7 linked regions of the Macaca mulatta genome follow. The protein of the gene in region 6 interacts with the protein of the main gene of each other region in a biochemical or structural test. Links are inferred from orthologs where the notes say so. Each region holds a gene or a part of one and is shown on either strand. Other genes may lie near its edges. The genes, in order: MAP3K14, TNFAIP3, MAP3K1, NFKBIB, TNFRSF1A, IKBKB and NFKBIA.

The links.
Region 1: of the proteins of IKBKB (region 6) and MAP3K14, one has a biochemical effect on the other in vitro, tested with the Homo sapiens proteins (3 studies listed by BioGRID and IntAct, with this or other methods). The link is inferred for Macaca mulatta from reciprocal best matches to the Homo sapiens genes IKBKB and MAP3K14.
Region 2: of the proteins of IKBKB (region 6) and TNFAIP3, one has a biochemical effect on the other in vitro, tested with the Homo sapiens proteins (2 studies listed by BioGRID and IntAct). The link is inferred for Macaca mulatta from reciprocal best matches to the Homo sapiens genes IKBKB and TNFAIP3.
Region 3: of the proteins of IKBKB (region 6) and MAP3K1, one has a biochemical effect on the other in vitro, tested with the Homo sapiens proteins (3 studies listed by BioGRID and IntAct). The link is inferred for Macaca mulatta from reciprocal best matches to the Homo sapiens genes IKBKB and MAP3K1.
Region 4: of the proteins of IKBKB (region 6) and NFKBIB, one has a biochemical effect on the other in vitro, tested with the Homo sapiens proteins (2 studies listed by BioGRID). The link is inferred for Macaca mulatta from reciprocal best matches to the Homo sapiens genes IKBKB and NFKBIB.
Region 5: of the proteins of IKBKB (region 6) and TNFRSF1A, one has a biochemical effect on the other in vitro, tested with the Homo sapiens proteins (2 studies listed by BioGRID, with this or other methods). The link is inferred for Macaca mulatta from reciprocal best matches to the Homo sapiens genes IKBKB and TNFRSF1A.
Region 7: of the proteins of IKBKB (region 6) and NFKBIA, one has a biochemical effect on the other in vitro, tested with the Homo sapiens proteins (58 studies listed by BioGRID and IntAct, with this or other methods). The link is inferred for Macaca mulatta from reciprocal best matches to the Homo sapiens genes IKBKB and NFKBIA.

What each region holds. Positions count from the first base shown.
Region 1 is NC_133421.1:69,643,211-69,646,815, reverse strand, and holds part of MAP3K14 (mitogen-activated protein kinase kinase kinase 14), read left to right. Parts: intron 1-1,111; coding exon 1,112-1,275; intron 1,276-1,769; coding exon 1,770-1,920; intron 1,921-2,491; exon of another isoform or gene 2,492-3,605.
Region 2 is NC_133409.1:42,959,998-42,964,136, reverse strand, and holds the start of TNFAIP3 (tumor necrosis factor alpha-induced protein 3), read right to left. Parts: upstream 2,867-4,139; 5' UTR 2,814-2,866; exon of another isoform or gene 1,954-2,813; coding exon of another isoform or gene 1,903-1,953; intron 982-1,902; exon of another isoform or gene 756-981; intron 1-755. UniProt on the Homo sapiens protein: Ubiquitin-editing enzyme that contains both ubiquitin ligase and deubiquitinase activities.
Region 3 is NC_133411.1:64,696,990-64,700,594, forward strand, and holds part of MAP3K1 (mitogen-activated protein kinase kinase kinase 1), read left to right. Parts: intron 1-636; coding exon 637-728; intron 729-998; coding exon 999-1,188; intron 1,189-1,494; coding exon 1,495-2,776; intron 2,777-3,396; exon of another isoform or gene 3,397-3,425; coding exon 3,426-3,578; intron 3,579-3,605. UniProt on the Homo sapiens protein: Component of a protein kinase signal transduction cascade. Activates the ERK and JNK kinase pathways by phosphorylation of MAP2K1 and MAP2K4. May phosphorylate the MAPK8/JNK1 kinase.
Region 4 is NC_133424.1:49,994,208-49,998,546, reverse strand, and holds the start of NFKBIB (NF-kappa-B inhibitor beta), read right to left. Parts: upstream 2,857-4,339; 5' UTR 2,808-2,856; coding exon 2,629-2,807; intron 1-2,628. Other genes in the region: SIRT2 (NAD-dependent protein deacetylase sirtuin-2), read left to right, coding at 3,319-3,334. UniProt on the Homo sapiens protein: Inhibits NF-kappa-B by complexing with and trapping it in the cytoplasm.
Region 5 is NC_133416.1:7,267,389-7,270,993, forward strand, and holds part of TNFRSF1A (tumor necrosis factor receptor superfamily member 1A), read right to left. Parts: intron 3,106-3,605; exon of another isoform or gene 2,822-3,105; intron 1,914-2,821; coding exon of another isoform or gene 1,898-1,913; coding exon 1,744-1,897; exon of another isoform or gene 1,721-1,743; coding exon of another isoform or gene 1,704-1,720; intron 1,544-1,703; coding exon of another isoform or gene 1,521-1,543; coding exon 1,392-1,520; intron 1,171-1,391; coding exon 960-1,170; intron 842-959; coding exon of another isoform or gene 826-841; coding exon 724-825; intron 1-723.
Region 6 is NC_133413.1:44,402,849-44,406,453, reverse strand, and holds part of IKBKB (inhibitor of nuclear factor kappa-B kinase subunit beta), read right to left. Parts: intron 3,351-3,605; coding exon 3,241-3,350; intron 2,177-3,240; coding exon 2,127-2,176; intron 2,020-2,126; coding exon 1,920-2,019; intron 1,722-1,919; coding exon 1,574-1,721; intron 1-1,573.
Region 7 is NC_133412.1:108,520,505-108,524,698, forward strand, and holds the start of NFKBIA (NF-kappa-B inhibitor alpha), read right to left. Parts: upstream 2,885-4,194; 5' UTR 2,795-2,884; coding exon 2,568-2,794; intron 1,958-2,567; coding exon 1,849-1,957; intron 1,522-1,848; coding exon 1,311-1,521; intron 1,021-1,310; coding exon 932-1,020; intron 825-931; coding exon 555-824; intron 185-554; coding exon 137-184; 3' UTR 1-136. UniProt on the Homo sapiens protein: Inhibits the activity of dimeric NF-kappa-B/REL complexes by trapping REL (RELA/p65 and NFKB1/p50) dimers in the cytoplasm by masking their nuclear localization signals.

The sequences.
Region 1 (3,605 bases), on a different chromosome or scaffold from region 6:
AACTTTTATTTTTTAGAGACAGAGTCTTGCTCTGTCACCCAGGCTGGAGTGCAATAGCTCACTCATAGCTCACTGCAGCCTCAAGCTCCTTGGCTCGAGTGATCCTGCCGCCTCAGCTTCCTGAGTATGAGTAGCTGGGACCACAGGCATGCACCACCATGTCTGGCTCATTTTTTTAATTTTTTGTAGCTATACATGGGGTCTCAGTATGTTGCCCGGGCTGGTCTCAAATTCCTGGATTTAAGCTGTCCTCCCACCTCAGTCTCCCAAAGTGCTGGGATTACAGGCATGAGCCACTGCCTGACCCTTTTTTCTAATATCTTTTGAAGAAAGTAGAGCTAAGCAAAAATTACAAATACAGATCACCAGGAAAAAAAACCACTGTTCACATCTGCCATCTATTCTTTCAGTCTTTTATGCAAATAAGTTTTCTATTATGATTTTTAAATTTCACTTACTGGTATTTCAGGAACATCATACCAGTAATTAACCTTCTACAACCTAATTTGTAATATCCAGCCCCTGCCCTATTTTCAAAAAACACTTTAAGGGTTTGGTCCAAAGGGCAGAGTCCATATCATGGGTGCTCTGTTGCTTGGTACAAGTTCCCAGCAGAGTCCCCGCCTAGCTCCTCCCTACAAGTTTGACTTGGAGATGTTATTTCTGTATTTAAAGTACTTTAACATGGCCGGATACAGTGGCTCATGCCTGTAATCTCAGCACTTTGGGAGGCCGAAGTGGGTGGCTCACCTGAGATCAGGAGTTTGAAACCAGCCTAGCCAGCATGGTGAAACCCCATCTCTACTAAAAATATAAAAATTAGCTGGGCGTGGTGGCTCATGCCTGTAATTCCAGCTACTCAGGAGGCTGAGGCAGGAGAATCGCTTGAACCCAGGAAGCGGAGGTTGCAGTGAGCCAAGATCGCACCACCGTACTCCAGCCTGGGTTGACAGAGCGAGACTCTGTCTCAAAGAACGAAAAAGATAATAAAATAAAACGTACTTTAACAGTGACAAATTTAAGATACCCCGAGGATTAACTGGGGTGACCATTGCCTAGGCTCCTGCCCATCAGCATTCCAGGTGACTTTATGTCTTATCCGCCTTCTCAGGGGACTACATCCCTGGCACAGAGACCCACATGGCTCCGGAGGTGGTGTTGGGCAGGCGCTGCGACGCCAAGGTGGATGTCTGGAGCAGCTGCTGCATGATGCTGCACATGCTCAACGGCTGCCACCCCTGGACTCAGTTCTTCCGAGGGCCGCTCTGCCTCAAGGTCGGTGACGGCACCCGGCATGGCCAACATGGGGAGCTGCAGGGCCCTGGGGCCCGGGCCGCAGGCTTGAGGGGCTGCTCTGCGGTGGCAGTTGGAGCAAGGGGAGGCCTGGTCATCCATGTGGGATCCTAATTCAAATACTTGCCACCCAAATCTGGGGGTACAAAGGGAGATCCAGCTGCGGAGGCTCACCAAGTTCATGGCAGGTGAGAACTCTCTTCTGTCCATACCCTGGGCCCCATCCACCTGCCTCCTAACGGGCCGGGCCTGGAAGCTCTGGGCATCTTGCTGCCTGGCTCTGGCCTGTTTTACGGGCTCCATGTGTCCCTGTCCTGGGAAAAGTGCCCTCACTGTAGCCCAGACCCCTCCATTCCTTGTGATAGACCCCAGCACAGTGGCAGCAGGGGCCGGCGGGAGTTGCACAGAGAGCAGTAACAGCCGGGTATCAGGAAATGAGGGAAGGCAGGCCTCACCTGTTGTCTTTTGTGCCCCAGATTGCCAGCGAGCCTCCGCCTGTGAGGGAGATCCCAGCCTCCTGTGCCCCTCTCACAGCCCAGGCCATCCAAGAGGGGCTGAAGAAAGAGCCCGTCCACCGCGCGTCTGCAGCGGAGCTGGCAGGGAAGGTGAACCAGGCACTACAGCAAGGTAAGAGGAGCTGCGCGCTGGCTGACCCGGGGGGCAGAGGACAGAGGTGGACAGAGGAGACAGGTGGCCACAGGTCCAGAGCAAGGTACCCCTCAGAGCCTTAGTTTCCCCCTCTGGAGTAGGGGGTGCAGCAGCCTCGGGGTTGTTGGGAGATTGTGGCAGTACCACGCCTTGACGCAGAGGCAGCGCTCAGGAGATGGGAAAGAGAAAATTCACATACAAACTCGAAGTGCTTTTTCCATTCTCCCACTCAACTACAATCAACCCGAAGACTCCTGTGACCACATGTGTGGGGATTTCCACCCCACCAAGCCAGCAATCAGTTCGCAGCAGACACGAGCTGGGTGTCCTCTAATTCAGTTCTGTTCTAACACTATCTACCTGGAGGCAGCGTCAGAGCCCGCAACAGGAAGGCTTGATCCCCAAGACTGTGCCCCCTACCCATGCCAGTCTCAGGCCCATGTGTTTACCTGTGCTTCTGACCAACTGGCTATAAGTCAGGGACCCCACGACCCCCTCCTTGGGATCGATTAATTTGCTGGAGTGGCTCACAGAACTCAGAGAAACCTTACATTTACCAGTTTATTAGAAAGGATATTACAAAGGATACAAATGAGATGCATAGGGCAAGGCATGTGGGAGGGAGCGCGGAGCTTCTAGGGCTTGGCACCCTCCAGGAACCTCCACGTGCCCAGCTACCAGAAGCTCTCTGAACCCTGTCGTCTTGGGTTTTTGTGGAGGCTTCATTACAAAGTCATGACTGATGAAACCATTGGCCATTGGCGAACAGCTTAACCTTTAGCCCCCTTCCCTCCCAGTATGTGGGATGGTAGGATGAAAGTCCCAGCCCTCTAATCCTGCCTGTGTCTCTCGGATGACCAGCCTCCATCCTGAAGCTACCTAGGGGCTGCCAGCCTTCAGTCAATCCATTAGTACATAGAAAGAGATCACTTTGGAGAGGAAGGCTTTTAGGAGTTATGTGCCAGAAATGGGGTTAAAGATGAAATATATGTTTACTAATATCACAAGGGTTATGATGTGTAAAGGGGGCTGAAACTCGCTAGGAATCCAAGAATACAAAATAAAGAGAGGCCGGGAGCAGTGGCACACACCTGTAATCCCAGCACTTTGGGAGGCTGGGGCAGGAGGATCACTTGAGGCCAGGAGTTCAAGATCAGCCTGAGCAACATAGCAAGACCCTTTCTCTGCAAAAAAAATTTAAAAATTAACCAGACATGGTGGCATGTGCCTGTAGTCCCAGCTACTCAGGAGGTGGGAGGATTGTTTGAGCCTGGGAGGTCGAGGCTACAGTGAGCCACGATTGTACCACTGCACTCCAGCCTGGGCAGCAGAGACCCTGACTCAAAAAATAAATAAATGAAGCCAGGTAACACTCGAGAGCCATTTGACTGGAAAAAAGCAGAAAGTTGGTGGGATGTGGGACTGTTGGGACCCCTCGGGTGCTGCTGATGGGCATGTGGACAAGGCTGCCCACTCTGGAGAGCGCCTGGCTGCACTCAGGCAGATGTCTGCAGACTGAGACCCAGGACCGCTACCCCTGGGTGCACTGACAAAGGAATGCCAACAGATCCATATGGGAACACGCCTGAGGATGCGCGCTACAGCTTCCTTTGTGGGAGGGGAGTAGGGTACAGTGGGGTCCCTCATTGGGAGGACAGAGACAC
Region 2 (4,139 bases), on a different chromosome or scaffold from region 6:
CGCCTTTAATCCTGGCACTTTGGGAGGTCTAGGTGGGAGGATCACTTGAGCTCATGAATTTGAGATTAGGCTGGGCAACATAGTGAGACCCAGGTCTCTACGAAAACAAAAAATGAAAAACCACAAAATAATAATAGAACAATAAATTCTATACTTCTAAGAACAGATATTGGAGCTCAATCATTTTAACTCAACTGCCAATGAAATTTTATCATCACCCTCCAGGTACCAACACAGGGGCATGTCTGCCTGGCTTTTCACCCTGAAATCTTTAAGCATAATCAACTAGTAGAAGGAATGAAAGTCTAGAAGCAGACAAGGAAAGAAGTTTCCACCAGGAAGCCACTCTGGCAAATGAAGGAGGAAAGGCGGCAAAGACCAGCATCTACAACCCATGCCAACAGTGCAGGATGATGCAAATTTACATGATGTGGGATCTCTCCAGTATGGAACAGTGTAAAAAGCCAGCTCGGATTCACTAGCCCTTAGTAGGGTGTCTGGTCACAATTCCTAATTTCCAAGAAGATGAAGAAGTTTTCAGAGCACAAAGACATTCCCTAGGAAATTTCGCAGTGATTGTTAATTCCATTCCTGCCGCATCCTATTTGCCAGGGCAACTCTCCAGTTAATAAAAATGTTAAACCTATGGAAGAGGGAGGAGAAGAAATCTAGATTTTAGGGTAGCTACTCCTGCGTGGGTCTAGACTCTCTTAACACCATTAATAAGGTGGTCTAAATTCTTGTGGCCCACTCACAGGGGAGAGGTTGGACTAGATGACCCATGGTTTCTCCTGAGGAGTTTTCTGGTGATAGTTTTAGATTAGGATTCTTAATCTGATTGCTGGGAAAGGCATAGTGGGAGTCATTCTCTGGATCAGATGGTGCTCTCTTTTGATGTCAGACGTCCTCTACAGGTGGAATTGGGCAAAACCATAACAGGACAAAAATAACACATACACCTTTCCTTTGTGGCACAGCAAAAGTCTCTCTCACGATATCATCCATCCATCCATCCATCCACCCACCCACCCACCCATCCACCCAACAAGCACTACCTGACCACTACTGAAGGCCAATCACCATGCTTGATGATGGGATTAAAAGTCAAAGATGACCTTATTCCCTTCCTTGAAATCACACTACCAACTTAGTCTGCAGCTAAGGCAACGGAGTTACAGGTACTGCTCAGATCCCACAGCCATTCAGGGGCGAAGTTTTGCCTAGGAGCCAGGTCTTTCAATACCTGCCCCTTGCAATCCCACAACACCAAACCTGTGGCTACAGTGCCTGCCACAATCAGATGGAAAGAGATGGGCAATAGGAAGATTTTAAACAAATGAGGTGTTATCTCTTTTTGCTTGTCTGACCCTTTTTTCTCTTCTGAATCTAAAGATTTTTCACCAAAGATCTAAAATAGTGAGAGCTGTAAACCATATGCAAGACATGCAAATGTCAATATTGGATACCCCAGTGTGATCTCATTGGTAGGTTTAGCCTTGCACAGCCTGTAAAACTGCCTCCTTAGAAATCAAAACCCACTGTCCAAGTTTCCAGTTCTTGGATCTCTCTACACTTAAGATTAAAGAATAAATGTTTCAGATACATTATAAAGTGGCAAACAATGCAATATTACCCTTAACTTTTTTTTTTTCTTAACATTTGTTACCTCTCTGTCTTATTTAAAGGTAATTTCTCAACTTTTGTCACTAGGATTCTACAGAACTTCTCCATTGCTCAAACTCTTCTCCCCCTTGTTTTATTTTTCCACTCTGGGCAGATATTTTTGTCTGCGTTGTGGAAATTGATGAATTATTTATCAACAAATACCTCATCCAAATTTGGGGATGTGCCTATCAAAAATAGTACTAAGAATTGAAAAAAAAAAAAAAATCAAAGCAGCACCTTAAACAATGAGAATGAAGCATTCATTGGCTGCTCAATAATCCAGTACATTAAGGTTGCGGGTCCAGAAGCCCCTTTAATTAACAATGGTTCCACCAAAATGCTGCCCTGAGACACTTGACCAGACTGGCTTTCCAAGGCAAGAAGATCTGAGGCGAGGAGAACTGAAAACAAAGCGGGTTCAAAAAGAGTTAAGCTCCTTCCTTACTTAATGCCACTGCTTTCCTGAGAGGCCAGGTGGCAGGATGTGGGACGACTCCGGCTGACAAAGACAGTCTAACCGTGGGGTAGGGGCTGGAGCAGGCGCCAGCGACCCATGTCTACATGCATACTTCTCTTACACTGCTGCAGCTGGAAAAGCTAGACCCTGCGCCAGGACCCCAGCCCTGTGCACGGACCCCTGAGCGTCTGGGAAGCTGTCTCTGGGACTGAAGCCCCCCACCTCCGCCGGGCTGGCGGCCACTGCGGTACCCTACTCCCCGTCGGGCTGGCCCTGCACAATTTGGGAAAAAGCCGCAGCGCTTCTGCAAGGTCTACGTGGCCAGGAGCATGCAACGCTTGGCTCCCAAAAAGACACGAAAGGAGCAAAGCATCAACGACCACCCGATCAGAGGGCCCGAGGGGCGCCTCTTCACCAGTCAGCTGCAGCTTAAGTTCCGTGCATTATCCGAAAGGAACAGCTGGCTGGAGGTATCCAGGGCTGTCACTCCAACCTCTGAAGCGGTGACCTCAACTCCCAGCACTTCAAAACCCAGACAGAAACAAACGTCCAACAAACTCCCACTCCAGGAGCGCTGCAAAACCAACGCCAGGTAGACGGAGCCAGCCCGGGGGTCGCTGCCCAACATGCATCCGCAGCCCTAGGCTGCGGTGAGCCCGAGGCAGACGGCACTGGGAGGCGCAGTGGTTACCTCTCCGGGCCCCGCGATCCTTTCGCAAAGTCCCAAGTCCGGGTCAAAGCAGGAGCGCCCAGCAGGCGGAGGTCGGGGCCGGGACCGGGCGGAGGCGACGCTCCATGGACGCCCGGGGTCGGGCTCGCTCGCTGGCAGGGTCGGCCGGGGGTGTGATCTCTCTTGGCGGCCGCTATCGCCGCTCCGCCCCCGCGGGCTCCAAGTTCGCTTGGCCCGCCACGAAGACTGCAGACTGCGCAGTCTGCTTTTCCCCGTTTCAGTTGTATGCGGGTCTAGGCCCGGGGATTTCCACGGTACTTTCCAAAGTCACGTGACTCTCTGGGTAGGGCTGCGAATTGCGTCCCGCCGGCCGCCAGAGGGCGCAGGGGGCGAGGGGCTTTCGCGGCCTCCGCGCCCCGACCCGCCCCCTTTCCCTGCCCCGCCCCGCTGCCTCGCCCCGCCCAGTCCCCGCGGGCCCAGGGAGAAACTCCCTCGCCCCGCCCCGGGGTGTCCCCGCGTGAGTCACCTGGGCATTTCGGAAGCTGGGGTCACGTCACATCCATGTGGAAATCGCGGTGATGGGAACTGGAAATGAAATAGGTTCTTTTTCGCAGTTGTTTTTCTGCAGAAAATCATCAACTGTGGAGAAGAAGAAGGGAAATAAGAAAAAAAGAAAACCCTAAAAACCACCCTGGCGTCCGGGCCCGCAGGCCTCGGGCTGGCTCTGAAAAGTTTGGGCTGTGCACGTGATAAGCGCGTAGGCGGGAGCCCCAGACAGGACCCGGGCGGGAATTTCGAGAAAAAGCAGCAGTGACAGCCTTTGGTCCCCATCTCCATTGTTCCTGCCAGCTCTGGACCCCAGGCTGCATGAGACGTAGGTCCCAGGGAACACCCGACCCCGTGGCCCCAATCTTAGGTAAACTTAGGAATCAGAACAACATTCACCCCTATGCCACCCTTGCTCCATTTCCCCTTCTCTATTTCTGCTCACCAAGCATCCAGCTGACATTGCATTCAAGCAGCATTTCAGCTTAGAAATCGCTTCTAGTCCATCACCGTGCTTGCCATGTGTCTCCAAGGCTTTATTAGGTGTGTTTTTAGTTGTCCTGATTATCAGTTCACCCCAGGGTGCTGATGGCTGATAATACTGGCGCTCCCTTCCCCACCCCCATGCGTTGCATAGGGAGAGTGAGTCATGTGGAGATGGGTGCAGTCCCTTGGGCAGTGGGGGTGCAGGTCCTGTGCAGGGAGGAGGCTTAGGGTGCTTTTACTGTCTTACTGCCCTCTAAGCACGGGACCCTTTGGATCATTTACTAGATTGGCTAAACTAGAACCAGTTGGAAATAT
Region 3 (3,605 bases), on a different chromosome or scaffold from region 6:
GAGAAAACATTGTATATCTGTAAAATATGCAAATTTTAAAATTTGCAAAATGCATAGGAAAAGTGTCATTTTTTAGTATTAGAATAGGTATATTTCCGAGACTTCAGTGTTCTCATGGTATTTGTTGTGCTGCTCGCTTTTTGAAACTTTAAAGTTAGGTTGTTTACCTGGTCACCTGAATGACTGAACGTAAGAAATACTGTAGAGAGATTTTATAATATTCAGACCTCATTCTGCCTATGTAAGGAAATGGAGGGTTTTTGGATGGGAAGGTTTTGTTTTTAATTCAAGAGCTTCTTAGTAAAAGTTCAGAAATCAAAATGTCAAGGTCTTTGTTACTTCTTTTAACAAAATGTAAGACTTTTATCTAATTTGGTATTTAAATCAATACTAAGAGCCATTGTTGAAGATTCTGTGCTTAACGTAGAGGATATGTTAAATTTACAAAATTAGACCTAATAAATGAGTATTACTATTTATGGTGACATTGTTCATGTGATTTTAGTGGTGGAAAAGTAAACACTCCTGAAAACATCATTTCTCCACTTTTTCACAAGGCCTTGCATTATGCCTCTAATATTGTATAGTATTTTAGCCAAGATCCAGGATTGATGTTGCTTTTCCTTTGCTTTTTAGCCGCACAAGTCAGCTGTCCATATCAACACTGTTGGAACTGTGCAAAGGCCAAGCAGGAGAGTTGGCAGTTGGCAGAGAAATACTTAAAGCTGGTAATAACTTTTCACTTAAAATGAATATAGCATGTTTTATCATGTTCCTCAGCAGCCTTGTCTAATCTCATAATCTCTCATGAGGCAGTTTACAGGATTTTGAAGTAATTTTATAAATTGATTAGATTAGAAATGTGAATTAATCTGAGAGAGAAATTCTTGAAAATAGTTCAGAATATTTTTGTTGGCCTTATACCATTTAATCATGTCTTGTTTTAGATTTTAATATCACTATTTTTTAATCACTTATTTTTACTTTCCTTTTTGTAGGATCCATTGGTATTGGTGGTGTTGATTATGTCTTAAATTGTATTCTTGGAAACCAAACTGAATCAAACAATTGGCAAGAACTTCTTGGCCGCCTTTGTCTTATAGATAGACTGTTGTTGGAATTTCCTGCTGAATTTTACCCTCATATTGTCAGTACTGATGTTTCACAAGCTGAGCCTGTTGAAATCAGGTGATTTTTCTTCTGAAAATATATAACATGTATCTTTCTGCCCTCCCTACACCCTCCTCAAGAATGACACATTTTAGATTTATGAAAGACTCAGAAAATACAGAGCATAAATAGGTTGCTGATACCTTAATATTTGATTGACATATGAAAACCCAAAGTCTAGGATGTTTAATTTAAAATTTATAGATACTTTATGCTGAAATGGTTTTTGAAGTATACATGCTGTAAATTACTACCATTTTTTAAGTTTCCATGTGTTTTTCGGTAATTGGAACTTATTATTGTAATGAATGTTTTTTCTTTCAGGTATAAGAAGCTGCTGTCCCTCTTAACCTTTGCTTTGCAGTCCATTGATAATTCCCACTCAATGGTTGGCAAACTTTCCAGAAGGATCTACTTGAGTTCTGCAAGAATGGTTACTACAGTGCCCCATGTGTTTTCAAAACTGTTAGAAATGCTGAGTGTTTCCAGTTCCACTCACTTCACCAGGATGCGTCGCCGTTTGATGGCTATTGCAGATGAGGTGGAAATTGCTGAAGCCATCCAGTTGGGCGTAGAAGACACTTTGGATGGTCAACAGGACAGCTTTTTGCAGGCATCTGTTCCCAGTGACTATCCGGAAACCACAGAGAAGAGTTCCCCTGAGTGCACAATCCATTTAGAGAAAACTGGAAAAGGATTATGTGCTACAAAATTGAGTGCCAGTTCAGAGGACATTTCTGAGAGACTGGCCAGCATTTCAGTAGGACCTTCTAGTTCAACAACAACAGAGCAACCAAAGCCAATGGTTCAAACAAAAGGCAGGCCCCATAGTCAGTGTTTGAACTCCTCTCCTTTATCTCATCATTCCCAATTAATGTTTCCAGCCTTGTCAAGCCCTTCTTCTTCGGCCCCATCTGTACCAGCTGGCACTGCAACAGATGTCTCTAAGCATAGACTTCAGGGATTCGTTCCCTGCAAAATACCTTCTGCATCTCCTCAAACACAGCGCAAGTTTTCTCTACAATTCCACAGAAACTGTCCTGAAAACAGAGACTCAGATAAACTTTCCCCAGTCTTTACTCAGTCAAGACCGTTGCCCTCCAGTAATATACACAGGCCAAAGCCATCTCGACCTACCCCAGGTAATACAAGTAAACAGGGAGATCCCTCAAAAAATAGCATGACACTTGATCTGAACAGTAGTTCCAAATGTGATGACAACTTTGGCTGTAGCAGCAGTAGTAGTAATGCTGTTATACCCAGTGATGAGACGGTGTTCACCCCAGTAGAGGAGAAATGCAGATTAGATGTCAATACAGAGCTCAACTCCAGTATTGAGGACCTTCTTGAAGCATCTATGCCTTCAAGTGATACAACAGTCACTTTCAAGTCAGAAGTTGCTGTCCTCTCTCCTGAAAAGGCTGAAAATGATGATACCTACAAAGATGATGTGAATCATAATCAAAAGTGCAAAGAAAAGATGGAAGCTGAAGAAGAAGAAGCTTTAGCAATTGCCATGGCAATGTCAGCGTCTCAGGATGCCCTCCCCATAGTTCCTCAGCTGCAGGTTGAAAATGGAGAAGATATCATCATTATTCAACAGGATGTAAGTATAGATTCTTTAAGAGGTTAGAAAACTTCCTTGGGGCTAGGCAGTGACTCATACCTGTAATTCCAGCACTTTGGGAGGCTGAGGCCGAAGGATTGCTTGAGCACAGGAGTTCGAAACCAGCCTGGTCAACAAAGCAAGACCCTGTCTCTACAAAAAATTAGCCAGGCGTGATAGTGCACACCTGGGGTCCCAGCTACTCAGGAGGCTGTGGTGGGGAGGGTCACTTGAACCTGGAAGTTTGAGGCTGCAGTGAGCTGTGATTACACCATTGCACTCTAGCCTGAATAACAGAGCAAGACACTGTCTCACAGAGAGCTTCCTTGGACCATACGAAAATAAACCTAATTCAGAAATGCTGCTTCTAACATTTAGAAGCAGATTTTTCCACATAAAATTATTACTTATACAACAATAATGTTTGTACTGTTTAAACAGCAATAATTCTTGTCTGTGGGCATTTCTGGTTAATTCTATAATGGTGATCACTTTTGCATTTGATGTTAGTCACAAATACCTTCCATTCAGAGGTCACATTTATAGGTGGTTTGGGAAGCCAGACTGAACAAGAATAATATCTTGCCGACTAATTTCACAAAATCTTACTCCTTTAACAGTAAAAAGATTGCTTTCATTTAATATGTAGACACCAGAGACTCTACCGGGACATACCAAAGCAAAACAACCGTATAGAGAAGATACTGAATGGCTGAAAGGTCAACAGATAGGCCTTGGAGCATTTTCTTCTTGTTATCAGGCTCAAGATGTGGGAACTGGAACTTTAATGGCTGTTAAACAGGTAAATATCTAGTGAGCATATAAATGA
Region 4 (4,339 bases), on a different chromosome or scaffold from region 6:
GAGAGAGAGAGAGAGACAGATGATAGATAGATAGACAGACAGACAGAAATACAAATATTTTTAGGCCGGGTGTGGTGGCTCACACCTGTAATCCCACCACGTTGGGAGGCCGAGGTGGGTGGATCACTTTAAGTCAGGAGTTCCAGACCAGCCTGGCCAACATGGTGAAATCCCATCTCTGCTAAAAGCACAAAAATTAGCCGGATGTGGTGGTGCATGCCTGTAATCCCTGCTACGCGGAAGGCTGAAACATGAGAATTGCTTGAACCTGGGAGGCAGAGGTTGCAGCAAGCTGAGATCATTCCACTGTACTACAGCTTTGGTGACAGAGCAAGACTCCAGTCTCAAAAAAAAAAGAAAAAGAAAAAAAATACTGAATTAGGCCGGGTGTGGTGGCTCATGCCTGTAATCCCAGCACTTTGGGAGGCCAAGGTGGGCAGATCATTTGAGGTAAGGAGTTTGAGACCAGCCTGGCCAACATGGTGAAACCCTGTCTCTACCAAAAAAATTACAAAACTTATCCGGGGGTGGTGGCACCCCCCTGTAATCCCAACTACTCGGGAGGCTGAGGCAAGAGAATCACTTGAACCCAGGAGGACAAGGTTGCAGTGAACGGAAACTGTGCCACTGCACTCCAGCCTGGGGAACAGAGTGGACTCCAACTCAAAAAAATAATAAAGCATACTGAATTAAATGAAAATAAAAACACAACATACCAGAATTTGAGAGATATTGCTAAAACAATATTGCTAAACAATAGTCAGGAGCAAATTTATAGCACTCAATACCTATACTGGAAAAGAGGAAAAAAGAAAGGTCTCAAATCAATGATCTCAACTTTCACCTTAAGAAACTACAAAAAGAAGAACAAATTAAAGCCAAAGTAAGCAGAAGAATGAACATAATAAAAGTCAGAACAGCCTGGCATGGTGGCTCATGCCTGCAATCCCAGCACTTTGGGAGGCTGAGGCAGGCAGATCACGGGGTCAGGAGTTTGAGACCAGCCTGGCCAACATGGTGAAACCCCATCTCTACTAAAAACACAAAAATTAGCCAGGCATGGTGGTGGGCACCTGTAATCCCAGCTACTGGGGAGGTTGAGGCAGGAGAATTGCTTGAACCCAGGAGATGGAGGTTGCAGTGAGTCAACATGGTGCCACTGCACTCCAGCCTGGGCGACAGAGTGAAACTCCATTTCAAAAAACAAAACAAAACAAAACAAAAAAACCGGCCGGGCGCGGTGGCTCAAGCCTGTAATCCCAGCACTTTGGGAGGCCGAGATGGCGGATCACGAGGTCAGGAGATCGAAACCATCCTGGCTAACACAGTGAAACCCTGTCTCTACTAAAAAAAAAAAAAACTAGCCAGGCGAGGTGGCGGGCACCTGTAGTCCCAGCTACTCGGGAGGCTGAGGCAGGAGAATGGCTTAAACCCGGCAGGCGGAGCTTGCAGTGAGCTGAGATCCGGCCACTGCACTCCAGCCTGGGCGACAGAGCGAGACTCTGTCTCAAAAAAAAAGCCAGGACAGAGACTAATTATATAAAAAGTAAAAAAAAAAAAAAAAAAAAAAGAAACCAAAATTAAGTAATGAAATGTAATGAAAATTAACAAGATTATAAAGCTGGTTCTTTGAAAAGATAAATATTTCTTCAGTGCCTCCTGGGTCAGGCACTGCTTGCATCACTGGGCATACAGCAGAAAACACAACAGACAAAAAACCCAGTACAGTCCCTCATCTGGGCTTTGCAACTGCAGTTCCTTCTCCCTGAAATGCTCTTATCCTGTTTATCTATTGCCTCATTTTCCTGCTTTATTTTTCTCCAAAGTACTTACTACCTCTGACTTTATTTCCTTCTCTTACTTTCTATGTTTCTTTCTTTCTGCGTGTCTTTCTTTGTTTCTTCCTGTCTTTCTGTTTCTTTCCTTCCTTGCGGTCTTATCTGTTTATTTAGTTCCACTAAAATGTATGCTCCACAAGCGCTTAAGTTTTTGTCTGTTTTCTCCACTGCCTTTATCACTAGCACCTAAAACGGAGCCTGGAATGTTGTACTGTGTAAAGAATATTTGTTTAACAGATGGATCCTTGGTCTCGTGGAGCTTACATTCTTTTTTTCTATTTTCCTTTTTTTTTTTTTTTTACTTTAATTAGGAATTCAACATAGAAGAGCTTACATTCTCTCTCTTTGAATTTAAGATTTGAAGAACACTGCTCAGATGACAGGATCTTAGAGTAAGGGACCAAGCATTAATTTTGGAAATCAAACTTTAAGGCTCAAATCAGGAACTAAGAATCAAAGATCATATTTGGAGGTTAGAAGTCAGGAGAAGCCACAGTTCTAACAAAAGTCTCAGGACTGGAGTCAGGTTTGGGTATCAGTGGATACAACGTGGATTCCAGGAGCTGAGAATCATAGTTCAGGAAAAGGTCAGAAATGATTGGGTGAGGATCATAGCTGGAAAGAAGATTGGTTTTGTTAAAAGTTAGGACTCGGGGGTTAGAGGTCAGGAAGTTCAGCATCGGAAGTCAGATTTAGGAGTGTGAGGTTAGGAAGCCTCAGGGATCAGACACTAATGGGGAATCAGATGCCGGGTCCTAAGGCTCCGTTTGGCAGCCTAAAGTTCACTCACGTGTCCCCATCCTCAGTGACGTAGCCGAAGACGAGGGGAGCCCACGACAGCCCCGGGCCCAGCTCCGCGCCCAATCCCGGTCCTCCGGGGGCCGCTGCGTCCGGACCCAGGGAGCCGAGGCCGCTGTCGCACCATTCATCTGCGTCGGCAGCTTTTCCCAAGCACGCGACCCCAGCCATGGCCCCCGCCACCTCAGGGGCCCCTCGCAGTGGCCCGCCTGTAGCTGGGCTTTGCCGGGAGTTCTGGCGCTTCCGCCCTGCGGGAAATTCCCCACCACGCCCCCTGATTCATCCAATGATAATATGCTGAATCGCTCACACCCCGCCCCCGTGCCGCATGCTGACCAATCAGAGTATTCGAGAGGACTACGACTCTCTAGCCGTTCCCACATTTTCCGGGCGCCCTTTACCAACATGGCTGCTGACGCCATGACTTCTGGGACTCGTAGTCCGGTCCTCGCGCGCTTTCTTACCTAACTGGGGCGCTCCGGGTGTCGTAGGAAAGCGCGTCTGCGGCCGCAATGTCTGCTGGGAGTTGTAGTTCAGTGCCCTATCCCGGCCACTCCCATTTCTGGTGCCGTCACGGGACAGAGCAGTCGGTGACAGGACAGAGCCGTCGGTGACGGGACACAGTGGTCGGTGACGGGACAGAGCGGTCGGTGACAGCCTCGAGGGCTTCAGCACCGCGCCCATGGCAGAGCCGGACCGTGAGTCGGGAATCCGGGTGGGAGGGTCGGGCCGCGCCGGGGCCTGATTGAAGGCTGCAGGCCCCGGGGCCCAAGGGCGGCCGCAGTGGGGCGGGAAGTAGGGAGCGCCTCGGGGAGTGGGGTTCTGAGGGTTGTTGCTAAGCGATCTATATCGCCAGGCTGGTGGGTTTCTGGGTCGCAGGGTGTTCAGGGTTCGTTTACCACATCCACTTGCCAAGTTGCCAATGATCGCGTGTTTCTCACACCTTGGTTGCTAAGGACCCTCGCTGCAAAGAACATAAGTTGCCCCGGTCCCGGCTGCTAAGGGTACCTGATTGTTAGAGGCAACCAGAGGATGCTGAGGGACCCCTGCTGTCCCCTTCTATGGCTTCCCCTTGTTCCGCGCCTCTCCTAAACCTACCGCCTCCACTGCACCACTGCACCTCCCTCCTAAACCTGCCTCCCAGCCAAAGCGTCCCTTCCCTTCTCTCTTCCTTTCTAAACTTCCCTCTGCCTTGTAAATCTAACCCTTCCCGCACACACACTGACACACTGTCGTGTCCTTCCTAACTCCTCCTGAGTGTTCCTTCATGCCCTGAATCCCTTAGGTAGGAGGAGGAGGATCGCTTGAGCCCAGGAGTTTGAGGCTGCAGTGAGCTATGATCGCACCATTGCACTCCAGCCTGGGTGACATGAGCGAGACCCTTTCTCTAAAAAGTAAAAAAGAAAGAAAGTAAGTCAGGGCCAGACACAATGGCTCATGCTTGTAACCCCAGTACTTTGAGAGGCCAAGGTGGTTGGATCGCTTGAGCCCAGGAGTTCAAGATCAGCCTGGGCAAAAGCCCCTACTTTCTCCCTCTCCTTCTAAATCTTCCTCTCCAGCCTCTCTGCCCCTCACTAATCACCTCTCCTGGCATCACTTTGCATGCTGATAAGATTTTTTCTCCGCCCCCTCCCTCCCCGTGCTCCATTTTTACCACCATCCCATCCCAGTGTAACTCGGTTGGTGGGTGTTCTGGCCCCTCA
Region 5 (3,605 bases), on a different chromosome or scaffold from region 6:
AATAAAAGGCACTTTTCTTTACCTGACTACTCAGACACGCACAAAGCTGCCAATTAAACCTTGATGAATCATCAATTACAGGAAGTTTGATTTCAGAGCTGTCAGAGTATATGTCCTAGAATCAATGAACTATCGTAGATCCTATGGCCCAAGAATCTACATATCTGAGTTGGAAGGGCTACAAGTCCTTGGGGCATGATCTTCTATCCTCAAAGACTCCTTAAGATTTGAAGAGCGAGGCCGGGTGCAGTGTTTCAAGCCTGTAATCCCAGCACTTTGGGAGGCCGAGACGGGCGGATCACGAGGTCAGGAGATTGAGACCATCATGGCTAACACTGTGAAACCCCGTCTCTACTAAAAAATACAAAAAATTAGCTGGGCGTGGTGGCGGGCGCCTGTAGTCCCAGCTACTCCGGAGGCTGAGCCAGGAGAATGGCATGAACCTGGGAGGCAGAGCTTGCAGTGAGTCAAGATCGCACCACTGCACTCCAGCTTGGGCGACAGAACGAGACTCCGTCTCCAAAAAAAAAAAAAAAAAAAAGATTTGAAGAGCAAGGGGAAGGACTGCCTGGTGTCTTAACAAAGTGTCTCCCACTCAGCCAGTAGGAGCCTGAGCACTCTGGGGCATCCTGGCATCCGTTGTCCCACTAGTGGCTCCCATCAAAGTCACCCATCCCAATCCATGCCACCATCCAGTGCCCAGCAGCTCTCAGAGATACTCACTTACTACAGGAGACACACTCGTTTTCTCTTAGAAAGAACCCTGCATGGCAGGTGCACACGGTATTCTGTTTCTCCTGGCCTGTAGGGAGAAGTGCAGCACAGCTAAAGAAGGAGCACCCTGCACCCTCACCCCACAGGACAGAGGAAGTGACGAGGGAAAGGGTGGGGGCGGCCAGAGAGGAGTTGGTCGTCAGACCCACAGACTATGGGAGGGGAAGGAAAGGAAATGCCGCTACATGGGGAAGGGCCAGTCCCTGGGGTGGGGAGAGGGCTTGGCGTCAGGAGAGCTGCACTCACAGGAGAGGTGCACGGTCCCATTGAGGCAGAGGCTGCAATTGAAGCACTGGAAAAGGTTTTCACTCCAATAATACCGGTACTGGTTCTTCCTGCAGCCACACACGGTGTCCCGGTCCACGGTGCAAGAAGAGATCTCCACCTGGCCCATTTCTGGTGAGGGGAGAAGATGGGGTATGAGTCCTGCATCCTCCTGTCCCTGCATCTCCTTCCTGATATTCCCCTAAGTGTGTGTCTGTCTCTGTAACACACACTCACATCCATGCAGTGTCCCAACACACACACCTTCCTGCCCACACCAACCAGCCTGCACACAGACAGGCATGCACACACCGGTCAAGACCCGCCTGACTCTCCAGCCTGCGCACACTCACCCTTTCGGCATTTGGAGCAGCTGAGGCAGTGCCTGAGGTGGTTCTCTGAAGCGGTGAAGGAGCCGCTCTCACACTCCCTGCAGTCCGTATCCTGCCCCGGGCCTGGACAGTCATTGTACAAGTAGGTTCCTGTGAATGGAGCAGCAGTTAGGCTGCAGGTGAGAGTTCAAGGAAGGAGCCCCATGCTAGGGACAACAGCCAGAGCCAATTCCCTGAAGTCTCTAGGAGAGGAGGGAGGGAGAAAATCCCAGTCCAGGAGAGGCAGCAAAGTTAGGGAAGAACATCTGGAAGAAGCAGAGGAAGAAGCAGCACCCCAGACCTGAGGGCATTCACCGTTTCCACTTGCCCCTACCTTTGTGGCACTTGGTACAGCAAACGGAATTATTTTGAGGGTGGATGTATTTTCCTTGGGGACACACACTATCTCTCTTCTCCCTGTCCCTGAGGGGAGGGACCAGTCCAATAACCCCTGAGGGGTATATTCCCACCAACAGCTCCAGGAGCACCTGGGGAAGAATCAGATAGAGGATAGACACCATCAGGAGAGGGAGGGATGGGAAGCTTAGGGGCAGCAGATCTAAAACTTCCCCAGCTCTGGCCGGGCGCGGTGGCTCAAGCCTGTAATCCCAGCACTTTGCGAGGCCAAGTCGGGCGGATCACGAGGTCAGGAGATCGAGACCATCCTGGCTAACTCGGTGAAACCCCGTCTCTACTAAAAAATACAAAAAACTAGCTGGGCGAGGTGGCAGGCGCCTGTAGTCCCAGATACACGGGAGGCTGAGGCAGGAGAATGGCGTAAACCTGGGAGGCGGAGGTTGCAGTGAGCTGAGATCCAGCCACTGCACTCCAGCCCAGGCGACAGAGCAAGACTCCGTCTCAATAAATAAATAAATAAATAAATAAATAATAAAAAATAAAAATAAAAATAAATAAATAAAACTTCCCCAGCTCAAGTCCTTCCTTGTGAAACATGCTGCCCAGGCCAACCCACTCACCAACGTTAGAGTTCTTCCTTGAATCTTAGACAGTTGGGATCATACAATCTGATGCTTATTGTTCTCTAGTTGTCCTGTGTGTTCATTTTTGTTCCCTCAACTCAAAGCTAGTAGGCCCCAGACCTAAGCTGTATTTTTTTTTTTTTTTTGAGACAGGATCTTGCTCTGTTGTCCAGGTTGGAGAGCAGTGATAAAATCACCACAGCCTCCACCATCCACACTCAAGCAGTCCTCCCACCTTAGCCTCCTGAATAGCTGGGACTACAGGCGTGCACCACCATGCCCAGCTAATTTTTTTTTATTTTTAGTAGAGTCAGGGTCTTGTTATGTTGCTCAGGCTGGTCTCAAAATCCTGAGCTCAAGTGATCCTCCCACCTTGACTTCCCAAAGTGCTAGGATTACAGGCGTGAGTCCAGCCCCGTATTTTATCCTTACTGTGAAATCCCCCACAGCAGCCAACAGTGCTGGACACAGGGCAGATGTTGAAAGGATGTGTTTTTGATTGGGAATTGGCAGGTTACTTCAGTGATGGCCCTTTCTTCCAACAAGCAGCCCTAAAGATTGGGGCGGTGTTTCTTCCTCTGGGTGCTGGGTTCACCGTGTGATTGCTTTGTGAACATTCACAGAGGTAAACAGTGAGGATCTGTGCACATCCCGGGAGTATTTCTAAAAAGGTCAGCTGGTGGTGGGGGCGAGTGATGTTCCTGTGAGCTCCACTCCTGGGGAGCGGGCAGAAGCAGAAGGAAGTTTCTTTACATGCTTGTATCAAACCTTACTCCGCCTCCTGCCCTCACATTCCCTGGCCCATCCCCTCCACCTCAAAATTTACACAAACACCCGGGGTTAGCAATGACAAATGGGGAGGAGAGTAAAAGGGAAAGGTTGGGGATCCCACATGGGTAGACGGGGGATAAAGTTGAGATGGGGGGAGGAGTGGGCAAAGGTGTGCAGGACACTCAAATAGAGCTGGCCAAGGCTAGTGACTCAGCTTGGATGACTGTCAGGTGGGAGCTGAGGGCATGCTGGGGAGTCCTGGAGCCCCTGCACGCCACGGTATTCTGGAAGGTACGCTTTGCAGTCTCAGGCCAACCTCACGGCAGCTAAACGGCTTGTCCTGTTCTGGCATCAGTGCCAGGAAAGCAAAGCCAGGAGTGAATATTTAGCTCCAACTTGGACTTTGATCTCTGCCAGCTTCATTTCCGGTTTTCCCTGGGCTGCG
Region 6 (3,605 bases):
TCTTGTTGCTCCCTCTCCTCTAAGACAAACTAGAGCTCCCCCTGTGCATGGAAACTGCAGCTCATGCCTCCTGGAGCTGCTTCCTAGCCCTTCCTGCCCTGAACGGCTCTTACTCATGCCTCTATCTGTGCCCCTCAAAGGATCAGGCCCTCCTTGGAACAGGTGCCATGCCTTCTCACCTGTGTGTCTTGCTGGGCATACAGTTAGCACTCAATAAATGCTCAAGGGATATAGACGGCACATCAGGCTATCACCTGTGCACACCTGCACCTCCCTCTCCTCTTCAGATCCTCTCTACCTTGTCATCCTGCTTTCTCCCTTTCTTCTCTTCTTACCGGAGGATGTGTCACTCCCACTCCCAAGGCATGCCCAGTGCTCTGGCACGTGACCCCAGCCCCTCTGTTCTCTGCACTGTGTGTGGATTGTCCCCTCTGCCTTTGACAATGAGAATCTCCTAATGCACCACCTCCTGCTTCCACCATGAGCAATGATCTCCCTGTCTCCTTCCCTTTGCTCTTAAAGGCAACTGATGCCTAAATCACTCTTCCATTCATGTCACCTTCTCTGCAGCCTTTCACAATGGGGCTTGCACTCCCAGCAGCTCTGGCTCCCATGACACGGCCAGGTCTGCCCGTCTTAGTTCTTGGCTGTTTCATTTCCCATTTCCCCACCGTGTGGCATTCCGTGGACTCACAGCTACGTTAAGATGGTGTGCACAGAAAACCTGGCTTATGGCACTGAGGGCAGCGCAGACGCAGATGATGGTCAACCAAGGTGCACTGCTGTGCATGATGGTGGGCTGAATTGGTGGCCCTAAGAAGGATATACCCACATCCCAACTCCTGGAGCATGTGAGTGTGATAGTACTTGGAGAAAACGTCCTTAGAGATCCTGAGATGACATCACTCTGGGCTATTTGGGTGGGACCCAAATCCAATGACAAGTGTTCTTGTAAGAGTCACAGATAAGGGACACAGGGGTCACACGAAGACAGAAACAGAGACTGGAGTCACACACCAAAGAACACCTGGAGCCACCGGGAGCTGGAAGAAGCAAGGATGGTCCCTCCCCAAGAGCCCTCAGAGGGAGCTCAACCCTGCTCACACGGGACTTCTGGGCTCTAGAGCTCAGATAACACATTTGTTTTTGTTTTTAGTAGAGACAGCTCTGTTGCCCAGGTTGGAGGGCAGTGGCATAATCACAGCTCACTGCAGCCTTGAACTCCTGGGCTCAAGCAATCCTCCCACTTTGGCCTCCCCAAATTGCTGGGGTTACAGGCATGAGTCACCGTGCCTAGCCCAAATTTCTGTTGTTTTAGCCCTTCAGTTTGTGCTAATCTTTATAGTAGCCACAGGAAAGTAATACACAGATGAATGAAAATGATTAGCACAGGTCCTTCCTCTGACCTCCCTGCTCACACCAAGTCAAATAACAGCGAAGTGAAACCTGAGCAGCAGCCGAGTGGACTGCTGGTGGCTCTATGGCGTCCCGTGTGGAATGGCGGCAGTACACGGAGGCAGAAAGGCACAGGAGGCTGATGGGCCAAGGGCCTGGGGCCACAGCACTCACTCACACAAGCAATCTTCAGGAGATTCCAGAGCTCCTTCTGCCGCTTCTCCTGCAGCCGGACAACAGTCTTCTCATCCTCATTCATTAAGCTCACCACCTCTTCCACCTTGGGCAACAGTTCCAGCGCCTTCTGCTTGCAAACCACAGTTTTACTGCAAAGAATAAACATGACAAACTAATGGCATTTGGGCTGGAGAAAATGGAACCCATGGCAGCTGTGCATCCAGTCAGCAGCTGCAGAAAGTCTCTTCATGAGGTCCAGTGAATCAGAGAGGAGGGAGGAAGGTGGCCTCACACCCAGCCTGCATCTCCCAGTCCTTCCTCCAGAGTAGGAAGGGCGGGGCTCATACCTGAGCTGTGTATAGATCACTCGCACTTTCTTCTCGAAGCTCTGAATTGCCTGAAGCAGCAGCCGTACCATTTCCTGACTGTCACCCTCAGTTCGCTGGTCTGGAGAGGGGAGGGTAGCATAGTTCCTCAAGGAAGCCAGCAGAGAGTAGTGATGCCCCATAAATGAGATAAGGAGAAGCCCAAGGCAGACACAGAACCCCACTTACCTCGAGGCTTTTCCCTTAGTCTCCTGTACAGCTCCCTTGCTTGCTCCTCTCTAAAATATACAAAGAAGTTCTGTCTAGATTTGAGGTCAAATATGGCTAATTTTTATATTTTTTTGGTAGAGATAGAGTTTCACCACATTGCCCAGGCTGGTCTCGAACTTCTCGGCTCACAAGCAATCTTCTTACCTTGGCCTCCCAAAGTGCTGAGATTACAGGTGTGAGCCACTGTGCCCAGCCAAAAATATATATATATTTTTAAATTAGCTGAGCACGGTGGCATGCGCCTGTAGTCCCAGTTACCTGGGAGGCTGAGGTGGGAGGACTGCATGAGCCTGAGAGGTCAAGGCTGCAGTGAGCTATGATTGTGCCACTGCACTCCTGCCTGGGCAACAGGGCAAGACCCTGTCTCTTAAATAATACAAATACAAATAAAAGAACTAGAGGAGAATAAAGGGTTGATTAGAGAAAAGACAGAATCAAAGTTCTGACATTTGGAGCTCCTGTCCTAAGAATCCTAGTGAGAGAATCAGGGAACACTGCTGAGCTCATGGTGACACAGCCCTCAAGAGGCTGACCCGGCCTGCCCGGTTCCCTCCATCTGCACGCCAGAAGGACATGTGATCTCCTTCAGGTAGGAGTGATCTGCCTAGACCCCTCCTCCCCTCCTGGAGTCAATGCCAAATACCTGACAAAGACTCAAACGAACGGATTCCAGGTCCGAATTCCCCCTTGTCAGGTTCTTCCTTCTCTACTTCTCTATCTTACTTTCTGTTCTGAGCTATGCCTGGGTCAGGGTGGGTGGGACAAATCAGGGGAGTCTGATACAGGGGTAGAGGCTGCTTGCATTTTAGAGCCTTTACAGATTATGGCCTCCGTCTCAAATGCGTTACCTGAATTCATCCTTACAACTTCGTGAGGTAAGACTGCTTTTCTTGCCACTGAACAGATTTGGAAACTGAGGCTCAGTGATGATTTGCTGGAGGTGACCCCACAGGGGAGCATGCTCTAGAGAATGGTCCCACACAGCCACTGAGGGTGCCCTGGACACACACACAGAAGCTCCAGGGTTATCTGTATGTGCTAGGCACAGAGGGGCCCCCCAGTCAGTACTCACAGGTCGTCCAACGTTCCCCCCTGCTTCCGGCCCATGGGGCTCCTCTGTAAGTCCACGATGTCCGTCTGCAGAGCCATCATCCGTTCTACCAGGAGTTTCACTTCGTTCTCCTAATGGAAAAGCTGTGCTAATGTCAACTGATGTGGTAGGAGCATGCTGAGATGCAAGATCTGAGGAGGAGCGAGACCTGGGGACCCTCCACATTGCCTGAGGACTCTCAATGGACTGGCTCAAAGGAATGTGGACTGTGGGGTCAGAATGGCTGCGCTTACATCTAGGGTTCACCACTTTCTAGCTATGTGACCCCTTGGCAAGTTACTTACCCCCAGCTGCAGTTTCCTTTTGCATAAAATAGGCTTCTAACA
Region 7 (4,194 bases), on a different chromosome or scaffold from region 6:
AACGTTTTGGGCCAGGCAGTGTGCAGTGTGGCTATAAGTACACCCTTTAAATTTTTTTTCTTTTTTCTTTTTTTAGAAAAATAAAACTTTTTTTTGTACAAATATACAAGTCCATGTTCTTTCAGCCCCTTTGCGCTCATAATGTCAGACGCTGGCCTCCAAACACACAGTCGTCATAGGGCAGCTGAAAACAAGGGGAAAGAAGACACATTAAACTTCCGAAGCTCTGCCAAGCCACTGGGATGGGGAGGCCGCTACTGGAAATAACCCTTGGACTCCATTCTCCATAGCCCAAATACAATGAACTTTACAGGCTGAGGGAGTTTGCCTTTAACTCCCATTTTAAAAATGTTTTAAAAAATGCTTTTCTTTAAAAAAGGGTAAGCTATTTTAAAAAAAAAAAAAGGTACATTATTGGGATACTGGTTATGCACAGAAATTTGAGAGACTCATTATGTAGATACCCCTCTGATAAGGAGCAGTTCTAGGGGCCCGGGAGGGTGAAGGGAATGGTCCCTCATTAGTTAGAGAGCCCAAGGAGTTCACAGACTCACCTCATCCTCCGTGAACTCCGTGAACTCTGACTCTGTGTCATAGCTCTCCTCATCCTCACTCTCCGGCAGCATCTGAAGGTTTTCCAGTGTCAGCTGGCCCAGCTGCTGCTGTATCCGGGTGCTTGGGCGGCCCCAGGTGAGCTGGTAGGGAGAATAGCCCTGGTAGGTAACTCTGTTGACATCAGCCCCACACTTCAACAGGAGCGACACCAGGTCAGGATTCTGCAGGTCCACTGCGAGGTGAAGGGCAGTCCGGCCGTTACAGGGCTCCTGAAACCAAAAGGAATTTGAGATGCTTATGGCTGCGTTTGGAATTTCTGCTCACAACATGAGCACGGGGAACTTGACTCAGTGCATCGGAGGCAGGAAGCACTAACCTGAGCATTGACATCAGCACCCAAGGACACCAAAAGCTCCACAATGCCCAGGTAGCCATGGATAGAGGCTAAGTGCAGACACGTGTGGCCTGGAAGAACAAAACGAAAAAAGTATAACCACCTGTTTCAACCCTCACTCCTTTCACCTATTCTTTTATGGGACAAATAGTCATATCTTCTGAATTTTAAGAACCCACCGTCTGGGTTCTGAAGGAACTTTATAAAGGCATCCAACAGGCACTTTGCACACGTATTTTCTCAACCTTTCAAATGCTGGCAGTTTAAGTTCTTGCCTCGACTCCTTAAGTTGGCCCACCTGCCCCTTCTCCACATCACCTGCCACCTGAGGGGGTGGGGCAGGGCAGGGAGGCAGACATACCATTGTAGTTAGTAGCCTTCAGGATGGAGTGGAGGTGCGGGGTGGTGCAGGACTGAGTCAGGACTCCCACGCTGGCCAAGCAGCCCTGCTCACAGGCAAGGTGTAGGGGGGTATTTCCTCGAAAGTCTCGGAGCTCAGGATCACAGCCAGCTCCCAGAAGTGCCTCAGCAATTTCTGGCTGGTTGGTGATCACAGCCAAGTGGAGTGGAGTCTACGAATGCAGGAGAGACCAGAGAAAGTAAGCCAGGGACCAAACCCACACCCTGAGTTCCCCTGAACCCGTGTCTCCTGGTTGGGTGCTGCTCCTCCTGGACAGGCGGGTGGGGAGGACTGGCAAATAGCAGAGACTCCAGGTGGGTCACAAAGACCTCACCAAATCAGTGGAATTTCCTTCACTCTCTAGGATGTGGGCTGACGTGAAGTAAAAGGTGAGGGTGAATAATGCCCAGTGGCCCTGAATTCAGAAAGGATCTGGGGTGACTTTGCTACATCAGTTCCATCCCAGAGTTAGAGAGCCCGGGCCAGGCAAGCGGCGCACCTGCTGCAGGTTGTTCTGGAAGTTGAGGAAGGCCAGGTCTCCCTTCACCTGGCGGATCACTTCCATGGTCAGTGCCTTTTCTTCATGGATGATGGCCAAGTGCAGAAACCTGTGGGGAAGAGAGGGAAAAACCCCAGGGGTGGTGAGTGCACCGCGTGGGGCCCAGGGAGGCGCGGGCTGCGGGGGATTGCGCAAGGCCGGGGTTTCTGGAGGCCGAGGCCGCGGTGTTTTCCGCGAGGTTATTATGAGCTGAGTGTTCCTGGCAGGCGCCCAGGGACTTTCCGCCCCCCTCCCCCCGCGGCCCCGGCGGGCGCCGGCCAGACCGCCCCGCCCTCCCGCCAGCTCGGAACGCCCTGTACTTCCCCTCCCGGCTGCTCGGCGCCCGCCAGCGGCCAGAAACGCCTTATGCAACCGGGGACTTCGCGTCCCAGCTGCCGCCCCGCCCCCGGCCTAGAGGACAGGCCTGGGGGGAGGGGGCGTGTGGCGACGCTGCCGTCCACCAGGGCCCAGCCGCCGCCCCTCCGAGTCGGGCCGGTGCCCCGCGCGGCCCTGCAGCCCTGCAGCGTTCGGGGCGGTGCAGGAGCCCCGGGGCGCCGCGGCGCCAGCCCGGCTGCATCGCTAGTTCCCCAGGTCGGGCTCCAGGCCCGGCGTCTCCCACTCCCCGGCCGCGCGCATCCGGCCCTCCCGAGGACCCCCGGCTCCGGGTCTGCGCCACTTACGAGTCCCCGTCCTCGGTGAGCTGCTGCTTCCAGGGCTCCGCGCCGCGCGGCACCTCCTGCGGCTCGAGGCGGATCTCCTGCAGCTCCTTGACCATCTGCTCGTACTCCTCATCCTTCATGGAGTCCAGGCCGCTGTCGTGGCGGTCGTCCAGCAGTCGTTCCTTCTTCAGCCCGTCGCGGGGACCCTCCATGGCCCACTCCTGGGGGCGCTCGGCCGCCTGGAACATGGCGCGGGCGAGCTGCGGGCGCTGCTGCGGGTGCGCTGGGCCGCGGGCTGCGCGCTGCTTCCTCGCTAGGGCGCTGGCGGGCGGGACGGCGGCACGGGCTGGTGTGGGCTCTGCAGCGCCGCCGCGGCGCCCTATAAACGCTGGCTGGGGATTTCTCTGGGGCGGGGTCAGGCGCGGGGAATTTCCAAGCCAGTCAGACCAGAAAAGAGAACTGGCTTCGTCCTTTGCTAGGGGGAAAAAGAAGCCTAAACCCTGAGCTGGGGTTCGTCGGAGAAACTCCCTGCGATGAGCCACTGGGGTCACGGACAGGGAACTTTTTGATGAGTGCCAAGTGGCTGGAAAGTCCTTCCGACCAGGCCCCCTTCCCCGCGGTACTTCCCTGCAGCCTGCACCCTGTAATCCTGTCTCTCTGCAAGTGAACCTTCTTTCCCTGGGGTTTCCCACGATCGATTTGAATTGGGGTCGTCGGCTGCTGAGATCCCAAGGACGCCGACATGATGGGCGGTCCCTCTTTGGGGTTTGCCAACCTGCCGGTCCTTTCCGTTTTTTGATCTTTTGAAAACGCAAGAGTGGAAATGATGGCTGGGCGTAGGGATTTTCTTTCCCCAGACTTCTAAGGGGAAGGACGCACTGTGGTTATGGGGCTGCAGGCCGCTCTTGTGTTTCTGCTAATATCAGGCTCATTGCAGAACGGGGACGTTTAGCTTCGCGCCCTTCCTCCCCTACCCCCCACGCACCTCTGCCAGGTAGAACTGTGAAAGCTTTGGAGGAGTGGAAAGCCTAAATCTTTGGAAAACTCTCAAATCACTTCCAATCACTTCCTAGGGATGAACAGCCTTGTTGAGTGGGGGAGGGGCAAACTCTCCCTGTATGGGGAAACTGCTGAATAGGACCATGATTTTTTTTTTTCCCCCCAAGTAAAGCAAGGTGTTAATCTTTGTAGTGGTGGTTGTGGATACCTTGCAATAACAGAGTAGCTATTGTGTTCATAAGTAGCTGTTGCATTCATGCTATCTGACCTACATTGTGCTGCCGCAGAGAATGGATCCTGAGCCTACTTCTGGGCATCTAAACTGAGCAATTCGAGGAGCACTTAGAGAAGGAGGCTGAAGAATGAGTTTAGTTAGTGCCTTAACCGCGATTGGACCTTAAGGACCGCTAAGAAAGTAGTTGCCAGTCATCCTGCAGGAGGCTCAAGGCAGCCCCATCCTCCCATCCTGCCCCCCCCCCGCCTTGCTCCCTCGTCCTGGGGGATAGTAGCAGTTGGACCCATTCATGCCACCCAGGTAGAAAGGGGTTTTGGCTCACTATGCTCTGGTTTCACCTGCAGAAATGTAATTTATGCTCTCCATCCCACCTCCACCTCCAAGCCTGCAAGCCATGGACTGAATTCATCTACT